Linked DNA regions of Struthio camelus. The protein of the gene in region 1 interacts with the protein of each later gene in a biochemical or structural test. Links are inferred from orthologs where the notes say so. Each region holds a gene or a part of one and is shown on either strand. Other genes may lie near its edges.

Region 1 (7,695 bases):
GGGGCGCTATTTCGTAAAGGCCGCCCGGTCGCAGAGGCTCTGACAGCGACCAGGTTCCTCCTGCAAGACTCCAGCTCCCGCCTGGGCTAAAGGCAAGTGCAGAAAGGACCAGTGTGACGGCGCTTGTGTCACCGTCCTCTGCCTCCGAGGAGCAGGCTGCCTTCAGACCGGTCAGTCTCAAGCAGTGTTTGAAGCTGTTCATCCTCAAACACTTCTGCCCCATTCCTAGAAAAGCTGCAGATGCCACAGAGACTCCCTGAAATGGCTCAAATCCCGTCCTTCTGAGTGACCTTGAAAGGCTGCTAAGGACGAAGGCTGCACCTCTGAGCCTCTCCCTCACGCTTGCCTTCCTCTTCCCGCAGGACTCCGTGTGAGAGCGAGGAAGCGACAACAGGGGCTGAGATGCCGCAAGGCCAGATAAAACCTAGCTCTGCACCGCCCTCGGGCCGTGTAAATAGCACCGTCTCCTGGGATTTCTTGATGCATTGCTGAAATTAGCACCTGTAAAAAGAGCAGCTGCCAAAGCTGAATTTAAATAAGACGGGCAGGCTGCTGGTAGGAAGAGGATGGGATCAGCGAATGCTTGGTTGCCTTAAAAAGCTCCCCTCGGTGAAGGCATCTGTCTGGAAATGAGGACCTTGAGTGGTGCTCGATGACCAGCTAACTGGGGCAATAAGCCCACATCTGCCTGGAGGTGGCCAGACCCTGTGTCTGCCCCTCTAGACCCAGACTGGGATGTAGCAGCGGAGCCGCTTGCACCCCTCGGGCTCTGGCAGCATTGCTCCCCACAGCTGGAGATGCCGATGTCCGCGGGAGACACCTCCAGCGATGCAAGATGCAGATGCATGTAGCCAGCTGGCACTGGCCTCCGGTCGAGCACAGCCAGTCTTCTCTACGTGATAACGTGTCTCAAGCCACTCACAGTGTTAGGGAGCATCGCAAACAGGCAGCAGCAACCGGGGATGGTTTTTTCTTAATTGGGCCAGCAGATGACATGTGCAGCTTGCCGTAAACAAGTAGGAATTAAACGACTCTTGCAGCAGGGACAGCGCAGTGGAGCAAAAATGGAAGATGCAGGCTTTCAGGAAGGGAACTGCAAGCTGATACGAAGGAAGCTCGGATGAAATCCATGAGAGCTGCAGCACGTGAGGCACGAGGACAGGAGCCCTCTGTTTGCAGGTGGTGGTTAGACACTGACAATAAGAGAGTTGGGAGAAGAAACAGAAGATTTAGATCATGGAGCCCTCCCAAGATGGTGTGCTGGCAAGGGAAGGGGGGGGCGAAGGCAATGATGCTGCGCTCGAAGGCTGTCTGCAGGACTCCCAGAGCGCCTTCCTGCTGGAGGACACATTCCAGTCTGCCGCGGAGAAAAGAGATCAAAATGCTTCTCTTGACTGTTCATTCAGCTCCCTATTAAAGCATCTTTCCCCAACAGGTCTCATCCTTTGTTTTGCATAGCTAGGGTTACAAAGGTGGCATGTGCCCTTCCCCACCAAGACCAAATCAGTCTCTTCCAGGCATGGGTCTTCTGTTGACTGTGGCCCAGAGCTGGCTTTGGTGGTCATTCATAGCAGTGGAGAAGGCCCTGGACCCACTGTGGCCAGTGAGGTTCTGCACCACACAGTCCCTGTGGTTGAAAAGTGCCATTTTCTAGGGTGGGAACTGCTATTGGAAGCAGTCTTGCTGCTAGGTCAGAGCAGTAGTTAATTATCAGTATGTTATAGATTCTGGGCACCTCTATTTTTGATGATGAAGTCACTCAGGTCTCGCAGGTGTCACAGGGTGGGAGGTGGAGGGTAGCCAAGATGGGCTTTGTGTCTCTTGACTCTTGTGCAGGAGGCACTGGCCTCCTGCCTGTTTCTGCAAGGCTTCCAGCTCATGGCTCTGCTTTGGTGCGGCGACAGCCTCAGGCAGCTTCGTTAGCGTCCCAGTCCGTCCCCTCATTCCCGCTTCTGCCCTCACGGCAGCAAGATGCCCACTCTCCACAGATAACGTCCCCCAGCATCCCCCCGAAGCACAGGGATCATCAGACCCAGCCCCGCATCCTTTCTGCAGGGTCAGCACCAAGTGCTTTGGGAGGTGGCTCAAGGAGTGGTAGAAGATGTAGACATGATCCTAATTGCTTAAAGCCTGAAGTATAAATTTCTCCATTAGTTCCAATGCTGCAAGCTTTCCCTCCACACACACACACACACACACACACACACACACACACTTTTTCTTTGATTAAAATAACTTTGAAGGGGCTTGTTATCCATGTATATGTCCAATCCCTTTTTGACTTAGTAAGTTCTTGGTGTTTGCAGTGTCCTATAGCAGCAAGTTCTGCAGTGTAAAAGCCTTTTCCTACTTGCAGCCGTTGGCTTCATCTTGCTGTGTCTCCTGGCTCTTTGGGTCGGTGCTGCAGCGTGTTCGGGGTGCAGGGTGCCTGTCACCCAGTGCAGGCCTCCCGGCCTGAGCGTGCACCACCGAGAACTCCTTGGAGCAGCAGGGCTAGCAGCGTTGCTGAGAGAGACTCACCAGCAGAAAACTGGTCTGCCAGGGCTCAGACAGCATGCAGTGCTCTCAACACTGGCATGGAGGGACAGGGTTCTCTGAACTTGCCTATCTGTGAACTTGATGAGCGTCCTGAGCTTGGGAGCCAGACTATTTTCTGTGTGAACGTATCTGAGCTGCAGCACAGCCCCATGGCATCAGGCATGGAGCAGCAAATGGTTGAAATGTCCATTCTGTGTTGGAGGTCACCCACGCAGCCCCAAGGCAATGAACACCAGCCAATGCAGGAGACGAAGGACTCAGGACAGCGTGATGGGGACCTCAGTGCTTGGGGCTCCTGGGACAATGCGGGTCTCAAGGACAGGGGTCTTCTGCCCCCTCCCCTACACCCGGGAGCAACTGCTGCCCTCGACCACTTGGGAATGAACACTGCCAGAGCCCATTTGTCCACAGCAGTAAAGTACAAAAGTACTTTTGTATTGCAGTTTCAAGAGCTAAGGAAACAAGAGGCATGCAAGGGCATTTGTTTTTCTGTCACCCGCTTCCTCCTCCCAAAGCCTGGCCTCTGAGCAGGGCCGTGTTGTGCCAGCTGTTCGGAGGCCAGCAAGCAGCCTAAATCAGGATGGTTGGCCACCACGGCCTGCGGAGCGGGTGCCCACAGTACAGGCAGCAGAGGGGCAGGATAGGGGGGTTCGGAGGAGAGAAGGATGGGACTGTTGAACCAGGTAAAAGTGGAGCCACTGCAATGGCTCCACAACACCTCAGCTGCGCTGGTTGTAATGCCAGCACCTACTACTGATTTACTGTCATCCAAAAGAGGCAAAAAGTGCTAATAATGATTCATCTTTATTGGATACCTGTCTGCCAAAGGGAAGCATAGCGACCAGCGGGCTTTCTCGTGCTTCTCTCAAATCACCGTCATAGATTGCGTCGACAACCCTCGGCCTTGCCCAGTGCCTCTTCCGTGACGCAGAATGAGACTGGGCCAACCTAGCCCATGCCTCAAGCAAGATCATTCTTCTCAGCAGCAGCTAGGCCTGTATCTAGCCTAACTTTAAATACTCTACCTTCATCCCACTGTTGTTCTACGTAGTTATGTACCTTTTCCCTAAGTAATTCTTCACCTGCCCCAGCGTTCATTACAACCTTCAAGAACTAGAAGTCCAAGTTCAGGTTCTCCTGACTTGTCAAATATATTTTCTTGCACCGGCCTTTCTTTCCACCCTTTGATTTGTTTGGGTGACTTTCTTCTGAACTTCTTCCATTCTGGCACTTCTGTTGCAAGCGCTGCAGTGGGAGCAGCACCCGCGCCCTGCTCCCCCCCGCAGAGGTTTCTGCAGCGCCCCCAGCGCGCGCCCTGCTTTTGCCATCCCCTGACGGCAGTTGGTGGATGGCCCAGGTGAGGTCCTTGAGCTTCCTAGACCCTGGCTCGCAGGGCAATGGCAGTGATGCCAGGGTGCTGCATGAGCCACGTGCACAGCCCTAGCAAAGCGGAGCCAGAGCTGCTGTTGGGATGGCAACAGAGCTGCTGCTGCTGCTGCACTGGCTTTGAGCCCTGGGAAACTCATTTCATATCCTGCTGCGGATCACAGCTGATGGGAACCGAGCTCCTGCTAGCGCGCGTCGCAGAGCTGGCGGGACTGCCCGCCGCTGCGCTGGCTCCAGAGTCACAGGGACAGCCCAAGAGCGTGCCTGGGGCGCTGGGGAGCCCGCGCACCCCAACCCGGGCACGGGCATAAGGGGGCGGCTGCAGGCGAAGCCCAGAAGCGTCGGGGCGGCCCAGGATTTCTCTCCTTGCTGGGCTCCCGCAAGGGCTGCGCTGAGGCGCGGCCGGGGCCGGGGCCGGGGCCGAGCCGTCCCGGGGCTCGCAGCCTTTGGGGTCGCCGTTAAGGGTGGCGGCGAGCCACGGCGGCCCGGCGGGCGGCGCGCAGCGGGGCGGTGCGCGGAGGCTCCGCGGGAGCGGATTGGCCGCGGCGGGGAGGTCGGGGTGGAGGGGGAAGGAGGGAGGAGGATGCTCGGCTCCGCCGCAGGTGCCGCGGAGCGGAGCGGAGCGGCGGCGGCCCCGCGCAGGCAGCGGCGCCGGGACCGCGCGGCCATGCGGAGCGCGGCCCCGCGGAGGTAACCGCGCGGCCGGGCGCGCCGCGTGCGCGGGGCGGGGGCCGCGCCCGCCTTCCCCCCCCCCCCCACCCCGCGCATCCCTCCCCTCCCTCCGCGCCCGCCTCCCGCCTCGCTGCCGGCTCGATGGTGTGAGGGCAGCGATGCACAAGCACCACCACTGCTGCAAGTGCCCCGAGTGCTACGAGGTGACGCGGATGGCGGCCCTGCGGCGCATGGAGCCCCCCTCGTACGGCGAGTGGCAGCACGAGCAATACGGCTACGGCGGCTACGGCTCGCAGACGCTGCCGGCGCCGGGGGGGGCCGCGCCCGCCGCCCGCGGCAAGGCCAAGCTGGGGCCCCCCGCCCGCGACGCCGCCGCCGCCGCTGCTGCGCTCAAGCCGCCGCCGCCGCCGCCGCCGGGGAAGAGCGCGCCCAAGGTGAACGGCAGCGGCCCGGGCTGGTGGCCCGAGTGCACGTGTTCGAGCCGCGACTGGTACGAGCAGGTACGGGCCAGCGCCGGGGGGGGGGGGGGATTGCGCCGCCACCGGGCCCCCGCTCCCCGGGAGCGAGCCGCCGCGGCGCGGCCGGGATGGGCGCGGGGCGGCGGGAGCCCCGTCGAGGCGGCCGTCGCGCTGCCCTCGCCGGGCGCCGAGCCGCTGCCCGCTGAGCGCCGCCCGCTCCGCCTTGGGCGGCTGCTTTGCCCGCCGGGTCCCTGCTCCCCTCGGTGGTTACGTAACCCCTTCCCCGCTCGCTGGCGGGCGGTGTGCTTTCTGCCCCGTTGCGCTGCCTCCATCCCTTCCCACGCGCGTCCGTTTCGTCCGTGTCTTCCTTCAGGACCCATCCGCAGGCTGGGGCTCTCTCCCCCCTCTAAATGGAGGGGCCATTCTTGTTTTGAACCCACAAGCCAGCTTAGAAAATGGTTGGAGCTGTTTGCAAAGCATTAAAATGGAGGCTAGACCCTGCCTGAAAAACAATTTACCAAGCTTTAGGGAAAGGCATTTCAATTTGCTGCTTCTGACTCTTTCATTCATTATCTTCAAACCTCACATGTTTTCTTATTGATCCTTCTAATTATTATTTCAAGATGCCGTATGCAGGCAGATACACAGGCATCAACTGGAACTCTCCCCTCCTTTCCCCTCACAAAACATAACCCTCTTCTTCCCTTCCCTGTGTTTTTCTTCATTACTGTCTAAATCTGTAGCTCTGGTTGAATTAATCTGAATCGAAGCTGAAATGCTCAGATGATGTTTACAGAAAGCACCCAAAACCCCAGCCACCTTCCTATCAGCCTGTTCCTGGTTCCTGTCTGTTTATCTGCCGCCCTTTGCATCAAAATCGGTCTCGTCTCTCTCTTGCCTGCTGACTGCAAGCGTTTTTCATCTTTCCTTTGCTATCTCTTTCCTTTGCTCCATCCAGTGCATTGAGCCCTGGGAGCTGGATGGGAGCAGAGAAATCGAAGCAGGTCTGTTCCCTCATTTCCCCTCCTGCTTGCATGAAAGGACCAGCCCAGGGCTCCTGGTAAGATGATTGCAAGCAGGATGGAAGGGGAGAAATGCCAGCTGCATTACTGCCGTGGCAGGCTGGGCAGCGGAGCCTTTCATGCTTTGCAATGGTGGAAGAGAAACCATTGTCTCTTTGTGGTGCTGCCTCGGAGCCCTAGGGGTTGCGTTGGTTGGAAAGTCTAGTTGTGAATCTCTGCTCGGTCGTAGCCTTTCTGGAGGTTGAAAAAAATCAAAACCTTCGCCCGGCATCCCCAGCTGCAGCGAGGCCGATGCCTGTGTGTGAGGCTACGTGAGCGTGGTGGGCTCTGCATGTATAGTATGACGTGTGTGTGGTATGTGCACTGCCCGTATCGGAGAAGACAGGATTGCTCCCTGCTGTGTAGCAAATATGTGCAATGGGTAAAGCTTTGCAGCGAATACGTCGGCAAAGCTCCCCTTCTGCTCCGAAGGTGCAAGGTGTCGGAGCCTTTAGGAATCCATGTTCTTCACCGTCCGGTTGTGGGCAGAGGGACAAAAGGTGGTGAAATGAAAACAGCTGTGCACAGCTTGCATGGAGGCAGATTGGTTTGGCACTGGCAGCCTGGGAGATGTCATGCTCAGGGTAGAATTGGCTGGATGCTGCAGGTGCAAAGCTGATATTTTGTGCAGGAAATGAAGAGGAAGCGCCTCGGTCCTCGACAGCGTTAGGATAACAGCGAGTCTGCCATTATGCAGGACTGCCCCTTTAAATGATATACATGTCCCTGGAAGCACTTCCAACAATAGAGGTGGAAACGAATGCGCAGGCAAAGCGAGGAGGAGGAAGAGCGGGCCAAGAGGTTTCCCTGTACAAAGAGCGGAGCTGTTCACCTCTCTGGGAGCTCCTCCATCTCCCGTCAGAGCCTTTTTCTGCTCCACTTTGCATGCAAGCAGAGGAGAATATGCCCAGTGCATGTGCCGGGGCGTCCGTGTGTGCAGACGCTCTGCCATGTGAAACGTGCTCGCGGCTGCATATGGCGGTGTATGTTCCCCGACATCACACGTGCTCACACACCGCATGCAAGGCATGCCCACGCGTGCTGCCCAGCACGGCCCAGTCCCAGCATTAATGCGTGCCTCCTCCCATCTCCTGCGACCCATCTTTTCTCTCCTCATCCCGCTCCCCTTCTGTAGGACACAAATTAGCTTGCTCAGGCAATGCCAGTAATTGAGAACCCCTGATCCTGGCCATAGGGAGACAGGAAATTTCTGAGCTTGGGGTTTCTTGTTTCTCTTTGCTTTGCTTTTCTTCTCCCTTGCTCTTTCTCCCTTTCTAGATCTTCTGTTTCTCCTCCCTTGCTCTCTCATCTGTCCCCTATTTATTAGTTCATTTTCCATGCACTTGCTTTCCTTGCTGCTCTCCGTTGTTTCCTTCACCGGCTCTGTCCGGCTCCGTGCCCTGCGCTCTCCCAGGTGCCCCTCGCTGTGCTGGCGGAGACGCGAGTCCTCCCGTGCCAGGCTGGGGTGAGCAGAGGACTCCCTGCTTTGAGGGAGGAATGGCAGTGCCTTACAGGGAAGCATCCCTGAGCCGCAGCGGCGAGAGGAGCGAAGTGCTGGAAACCCCTCCTCTCGCCTGCAC
Region 2 (7,311 bases), on another chromosome or scaffold:
CCTAAATGAACACGAGTGAATGCTTCAACCTTCTCTGTGCTCCCTCATCCTACTCACCCCTCTCTAACCTCATAATTATTGGCTGCCAGCAAAAATATGTAGCTCTCCTCTGTCCCTGACTATGATGGATGTCCTATTTTTGGCCTCACTGGGTTGCTGCCACCGTTTAATGAAGCTACCAAGTTCAGGAATTTTGCTATTAAAGACATGATGTCCATCACTTCTCTGATTTCCCAAACTGGAACACGAGTCCAGATTTAGACATGCCTGCCAAATGAACAGCCCAAAAACCTACTGTAAAGGAGCAAGCAATGAACATCGCATGGATGCTGGTACCTTGCTACCTCCATCTGCACAGCCATAACTGCAACTGAGCGCAACACGTGTCACTGGGCCTACCAGGCTGATCCTACCGGGCTTACGCCAAACACCTATGCTTGGTAATACTTAACAATATTAACGTCCATAACTCTTGCTCCTCCCCAGCCTTCAAGAGCAGCAGCTTTTGTTCCATTTACTTAACATTTTACTCTATTAATTATTCCAGTGCTTCAACGGTAACTCATACTCTGCAGTTGGCTCTATTTTCTTTACTCTGAAGAACACTATTCTTTCTAAAAGCAATTCCTCAAGAACAGTACCACATTGCAACTGTTCAATAAAACCGAGGTTTTGTTAACTTCCGATACCTTTGGTCTCATACCCGACAACAAGGTTTCCTTTCCTAAAATTGCCTTTTCATCTTACTGGCAAAGCACAAAGGACCAACACTTTGGTCAGGGGCCTGCATCAGCCACATACGCCCATGCTGGACTGTGCAGTGTTACCATGCGCTAATTACACGCTCCTACCGTTTTGACGAGAGACCAGGACATATAACTAGGGAACAGCATCTGCCTGTTCACAAAAGCTCTCTGCTCACCCCGTAAAAAATCACGCAATATTTCCCCGTGATGGAGTCAGCAACAGGAGGCACCAGAACGATGCCTGTCTAGTTAAATTTAGTTCTTTGGGAGTAATAGTTTTGGTGTATATTTGGACAATAAAGATAAGCAATTTTCTACCCATCAAGTCCCTGTGCCATTAACTCTTCAGTAATGCTAATGGAAGTACTGCACGAGGTAAAGCTACAAGTAATAGACCACATGGTACCACAATTCATTGCGGTGGAACAGTAAAATGACAAGAATTTGTATTAAAACAGAAGAAGCTTCCTGTTACTCCCTTCTGGTAGAGATTTTATTTTTGGCCAAACGTTTTTCTGGAAAATAACTTTCTGAACTACTCTGTGGGAACGTGCCAGTTTATGCAGAAAAGAATATCCAGTGAATCCTCGTTCACTGGGAGAAAGGGAGAGAGTGGCTGACTGAGAGCACCAGTCATCTGACTGCAGCCTACTACCGCGTCTGTTTTCCAAGAAAATCTTGTAGAGGTCTTAATTTCCCAAGGGCAGAGAGCAGTGATTCTTTTCCAGAAAATTCCATGAGAGAGCTGGGTCGGGTGAGTTTCTGCCTCCTGCTCTTGAATTACAGAAACCAAACCCTTTGTTCATTCAGCTCCATTGTTTTTTAGTTAAAAATCAGCCAATATATAGCTTTGTAAGGTTTCACTCGCCTCCCATAAATCAAAATACAGCTTTCCATAGACTTAGCAATGCTTTGTACCAGACTCCTCAAGTGCCACCGGAGTCAAGAGCCACTTGGAAACAGGCCCTCACTGACCTGTGTGGATGGTGAAAGCAAACACTGTAACGGGTCCAAAATTCAAAGTGTGCTTTATGCATCTTCCAAGTGCTACTGAAGCCTGACATAGCTGTTTAGCCACCAAAAAGAAAAAAAAGAAATTTTGATTACGTATAGGGTAGAGACGGTAGCTTGCACTTGCGCTCTCTCTCTCTCTCTCTCTATATATATATATATATACACATATAAAATTGAGTCTCCAGGGAATTGCCACCTGCCTTTATACAATGAGCCCTGCGAAACCGTGATACTGTTACCAGCGTGATGTAGCTTCCCCACCAGAACCAATGCAATGCTCATTTTAAACTTAGCTCACACCACTCACTAACAAGCCAAATTGTTACCCTTGGTCTTCACGATTCTTTACAGACTTACTCCATGGCTTTTTTTTTTTCTTGTGATAAAGAGAAAAAAAAAAGGCGGGGGGGGGGGGAGAAGAAGCTTTCGGAGGCAGCATACGAGTACAGAAGGCACACTGCAATTATTTACAATCTTTTGTACTGCTTTGGTATTTATTACAGAGAACGAAAAACAAAAAAATCTGCAAAACTGAAAGACAGGCTTACGGCCCGAAGAATGTGTTTTGACAGTAAGGTAGAGCACCTCAGGAACAGCTTCTCGGCTCCCTGCCCCAATCACCCCTCAACTCCCACCAAGCGCCAAGCCCCGTCGAGAGACCCCTTACAGCCGCCGCGTGTTTTAAGCCAGGAAGTGCCCCGGTTCAAGGGCTGCAGCAAACGCCAACCGGACGGCCCCTTCCTCCCACCCGCCGGAGGACGCGGGCTGCGGGCTGAAAGGGGGCTTCCCGGCCGGGGTGCCCGCTTTTGGGCAGAGCGCCGGGCACCAACGTTTCGGTCTCGCCCGGGCGCCTCAGCCCCGGCCAACCGCCCCCCAAACCGCCGCCGCCGCCCCGGGCTGGCGCCCCGCCGTGCCGGCGGCGCTGCCCCCGCTCCCCCCGCCCTCCCTTTTCGGCCCCGCCGCCGCCGGCCCCCGCTCACTTTCCCGCTCTCGTCCACCCCCAGCAGGTGGCCGTGGAGGATCTCCATGGGCGCGGCGCGGCGCGAGTGCACGAAGGTGCCCCTGAAGACGTGGGCCAGCGGCGGGTGCTGCGAGGAGCCCATCGCGGCGCCGGCGCTGAGGAGGCTGCCAGCTGCCGCGCAGCGGGCTGCAGCCGCTCGATGTCTCTCGGCACCGACAGCGGCTTCCTGGACCTGTCAACATTTCCCCACCCCTTCCCTTCCCCCCCGCAAAGCTTCTTGCCCCGCGGGGAGTGGTTCCCGCCGCCGGCCGGCTCCTCCCGCCGGGCGGGTGCCCGCTGAGGGGAGGCGGTGGCGGCAGCCGCGGCCGCCCCGCCGAGGCCTCTGCCCCGGCGGCCGGGCGACCCCCGTCCTGCTGCCAAAACAGACAAATAGCGCCAGCAGGCAGGGGACAGGGGGCAAACTCGGTGCTTCCTGTTGCTGACGCACATGCGGGATGAGGCCGGCCGCCCTGAGAGGCGCGGAGCCCTGGCGCAGCCCCCGCGGGTGTTTGGTCTCCCCCTTACCGTGGCTGGTTGGTTCTCCTGTTTGTTTTTCCCCTTTGCCCCCCCAGCAGCCCCGATGTCTTCTGGCCTAGTGGGAAGTGAAACAGGCTTGGAAGTCATCAGGAAACACCAAAAATGGAACAAAGCGAGACTTGAATTTTATTGTTTGTAAAGCACGTGATTTTACTGAAACAAAACATTTCTGTCTAGTTCTACGCGTTGCCAAAGTAGCAATAACTAACCAACTTCCAAAGGGAAATCAGTACCCTTGAAAGCAGAACTTTTGCATGTTTTCTTCTCAGGAAAGATAACGTTATCACATTAATAACATGGCACAATACACAGAAATGTGGATTGTGTGTGTTTTCCCAGAGCAAGGTAGCTTGCCGTGGACTTCTTACAAAGGTACAAGCCTGTAACAGATGTTTTTAATAAGTGTGTTTCATTTACAAAATAAGGAGCTGCAGGCTCACAAGAGAGAGTTCTTAGGAAGACTGACAGCTACAGAAACAGCATCAGCGGTGCTTTCTGAGCGCCTCTGGCTTTTTCCAGGAAGTGATGACAGACCCGATAAGATGACTCACAGTAGTTAGTATATCCAGTGACTGATCTTTACAACCAAACCAAAGGCTGTAACCAGCTTCAGAAGCTTCATTTACAGGGTTCCTTTGGTTAGGCTTGCAACTGCAGGTGTTGCCCTGCGCCTGGAACATTATTGGACAATTTCAGAATAGAGCTAATCTTAAAATACTATAATATTAAAGGTGTGTTTCAGGTAGATGGTAGTTCCTGCCCCATCTATCCATTCTGCTGTACTCAGTACTTAATCTCTCTCTTACCACAGATTGTCTCCTAGGTCCTCTGCTCCTATGCTGTACATTAGTAGGATACAGGAGCAAAAAATCGATGCCAGCTGAAGCACTTCAGCTACCAGAAGAAAGCAGCCAACTGTTTCATTCAGCGGAGAGGGTCTATAGCAAAGGAGAAAGAAGCCCTGGGAAAACGAAAGGGAGAGAAGAATGAAATTTGTTAACTCAGAGAATTGCTCCAACAACTTAAGTTAATGTATATTATATATATACATTATTTATAATTAGGTGTTATTTACGTAATATATGAACATGCACTAAGATGATTTCTAGGGAGAATATTTGGATAAGAGTTCATGGGACATAGTAAAACCCTTTTCTTAATGTGAGAAAGCCAGAATCAGGGGTAACACTATGAATGTCCTGCCACTGAAAGTCACCTTGCTTCATCAGATAGAAAAGTGGTAAACAAAATTGCCATCCAAGGCTCTGGTACTGCCATTTTCAAAGCTGGATTACCAAGTTTATTATTACATAGTTTATCATAAAAGACCTTTGCCCATCCCACTGTGCTGACACTATACAAACATAGCAGGAGATAATCTTTCCTCTAAGCTTTCCAGATAAGTGGAGGGAGGAGACAAAGACACAGTGGGAAAGCACAGAACAAAGGTAATTTTAGTCTGCTCAGTGCACCTCATCTACCTTTGTTGTGCCATCTTTGAATGAGAATACTTCTAGGTTCACGTGAAGTAAATTAAAAAAAAAAAAAAAGTGGATTTACTGAAGCCAGCTGAAAGCTCTTACCTTGACTTCACTAGTGGTTCCGTCAGGCCATAAACAATATCCAGAATAAAATGGATAGGTGAAAGTGACTCTCACACTCTAAGATTGTTCATTTCCTGTGAGAGGTCTCATAGTTCAAGAAGATGCTAATAAGTTTTTTTTTTTTTTAAGAAGCTGCAATTTTTCACTGTATTTCTAATCTCTTTGACATGAGAAGCCAATAAAACACAAATTGGTCTTACAGGTTAATCTAGTTCGGAGAAGAAATTGCATGAGGGTCTTTCTTGCAATTCAGCTTGCTTACAAGATTGTAATACTTCATGCTTCTTTGAACAACAGAGTAATACAACAACACTGGATAGTTTCCTAAAAAATAGCACCAAGTGTCTTTTAAGTTAGCATTTACGAAAGCTTTCTTATAAGGACATTTCTCAGAGTAACACTACTGTGTTTATCAAAGCAGCAGCTGAAACCACTTTTTATCCATATACCAAGTTGTGATCCCAGGCAGCTGAAATGGTATTTGGCTGCCTTAAGAATAAGAAGCGAGAGCTAGGCTGCTTTAGCCATTAAATGCAAAAAGGTAGAGGGAGTGGAGCTGCAAAACAGTCAAACAGAGAGCCCTGGAGAGGTAAACTTATCACTCTTCCTCCCGACACAGGAGCGAGGACAACTTTCCCCAGCAATAGCTCCTGCCCTTTACACAGCTTGGCTCTGCCCTTGCAGCAGCAACTAGCCTCAGCTCCCAGGGCAAAGGAGGTAGCGAGGCCCCAGGGTATGCAGTCTTCCGCAGTATGCTGCCCTAGGTATCTGCGCTTCATTCACACTCACATCAGGCTACGTGTGGCTCTTTGCTTCTCATCCTGAGGTCTTGTCCTGGCTGCTGCCCAGGTCCACGTGGCCTGCTGGCCAAAGCAATATTCAGCAGAACTCGTACACTTTTGCTAAATCGTTATTCCTGAGAAGCCCTTGATTTGCATTTGGAGGTGGTGGGGGGATGCGTGCTGCCTCTGAGAATTTCTATGTCAACCATGTTCTTCCATTAGGAATCTCAGGGATTTCTTTCAACTGCCTTACAGAAAGATTGATACTTATTCCAACAGTTTCAGTGAGATTTAATCCAACCAGTATTTTATGCATGAGAAAAAAATCCAGAAACAGTGAAAGTTTCTTCCTTTAGAACTTTTTGGAAGAAATATGAATAATAAAAACTGTTAATTGTCAATCTATTGCTATAAGTGGATTCCAAACACTATGAAGACATATAATTGAACTGTTAAAAGAACTAGACTTCTCTTCTGCTTTTCCCAGCTGTGAGAGAGCATGTGAGACTCTTAAGAGGGCTGATGAAAGAACAGTTAAAACCCTTTCCCTCCTCGCAGACCTTTTTTCGTTATTAGCTTGTGAAGCTCACAGCTGCATACCCAAAATATTGGGATGGCTGCAGATGAGACCTCAACCAGCTGTGATAAAATGGGTCAATCTTCCATGATACTATAAGAGGACTGCTCAAAGGTGTGCTTGGTTTGTCTGGGGTAGAAATTGAATGGTTTATGATGATTGTTGGTTACTATTTAACTTAAAAAGTAATTGTAATAGCCTGCTCTTAATTTTGCTAAATGGTTAATGGTCTACAGTGAAAGATATAGCTTCTTACAAATTCCTTAAGAAGGTTTTGTTTGACTAGCAATTTAAAACAAATCCCAGCTTTAGCAGCTCTTTGAACTCATCGCACCTGGATTAACATGTTCATATTAAAGTAAATAATCACCATACTTTGACCCACTGCTGTTCAAAAAAAAAAGTCTATTTCGTTGTCTTTTGACTCAGTTTTAGAAGTTAAGTGAAAATCAGGTCTAGTCTGAGTTCTGAAGCTGAGCAACAATAGAAAATTTAGTCAAAGTATTTTTAGAGCATCAGAATAGATTTTAGCAGGATTAGAATGTCACCCTAAATTCTCATTAACTGTTCCACTTTTTGATATTTTCTTTCATTTGGTGGACTTTACAAAACAAGAATTCAATGCCTTGTTTTCAAAGTTTTGGAGCAACTCTGTTCATCTAGTAATACGTGAGAAATGTAAGAAAGAGGAACCTATTTTTAATTCCCTGCTTTCAAAAAACAATTAATAGGTACATGCCACCCAGTGGAAGCTCCTATCTTCAGGACACTGATAAAATACATGCCAGCAGAGCCTGAGCCTCAGGGTACAAAAATTATTGATCTGATATAGAAGTTAATGTTGTTATTTGCATTTGATTACCAAAGTATTCCTTGTGAATATTTTGTAACATAGCAACTAAGCCAATGGAGAAACAAAATAAAATTGATTTCTCTTTTATTGATTGATTTTTATCTGAAAATGAAAGCACTAAGTAGGTAGGAAATACTTGGGGCTGTTCAGAGAATGAAATAAAGGGCAGCATGGTTTATATCTACTCACAGAGAAAAG

The links.
Region 2: the proteins of DLG3 (region 1) and GDA form a complex in vitro, tested with the Homo sapiens proteins (2 studies listed by BioGRID and IntAct, with this or other methods). The link is inferred for Struthio camelus from reciprocal best matches to the Homo sapiens genes DLG3 and GDA.

What each region holds. Positions count from the first base shown.
Region 1 is NC_090952.1:25,433,977-25,441,671, forward strand, and holds the start of DLG3 (disks large homolog 3), read left to right. Parts: upstream 1-4,692; 5' UTR 4,693-4,754; coding exon 4,755-5,096; intron 5,097-7,695. Other genes in the region: disks large homolog 1-like, read left to right, coding at 363-374. UniProt on the Homo sapiens protein: Required for learning most likely through its role in synaptic plasticity following NMDA receptor signaling.
Region 2 is NC_090982.1:26,799,422-26,806,732, reverse strand, and holds the start of GDA (guanine deaminase), read right to left. Parts: upstream 3,015-7,311; 5' UTR 2,864-3,014; coding exon 2,741-2,863; intron 1-2,740. UniProt on the Homo sapiens protein: Catalyzes the hydrolytic deamination of guanine, producing xanthine and ammonia.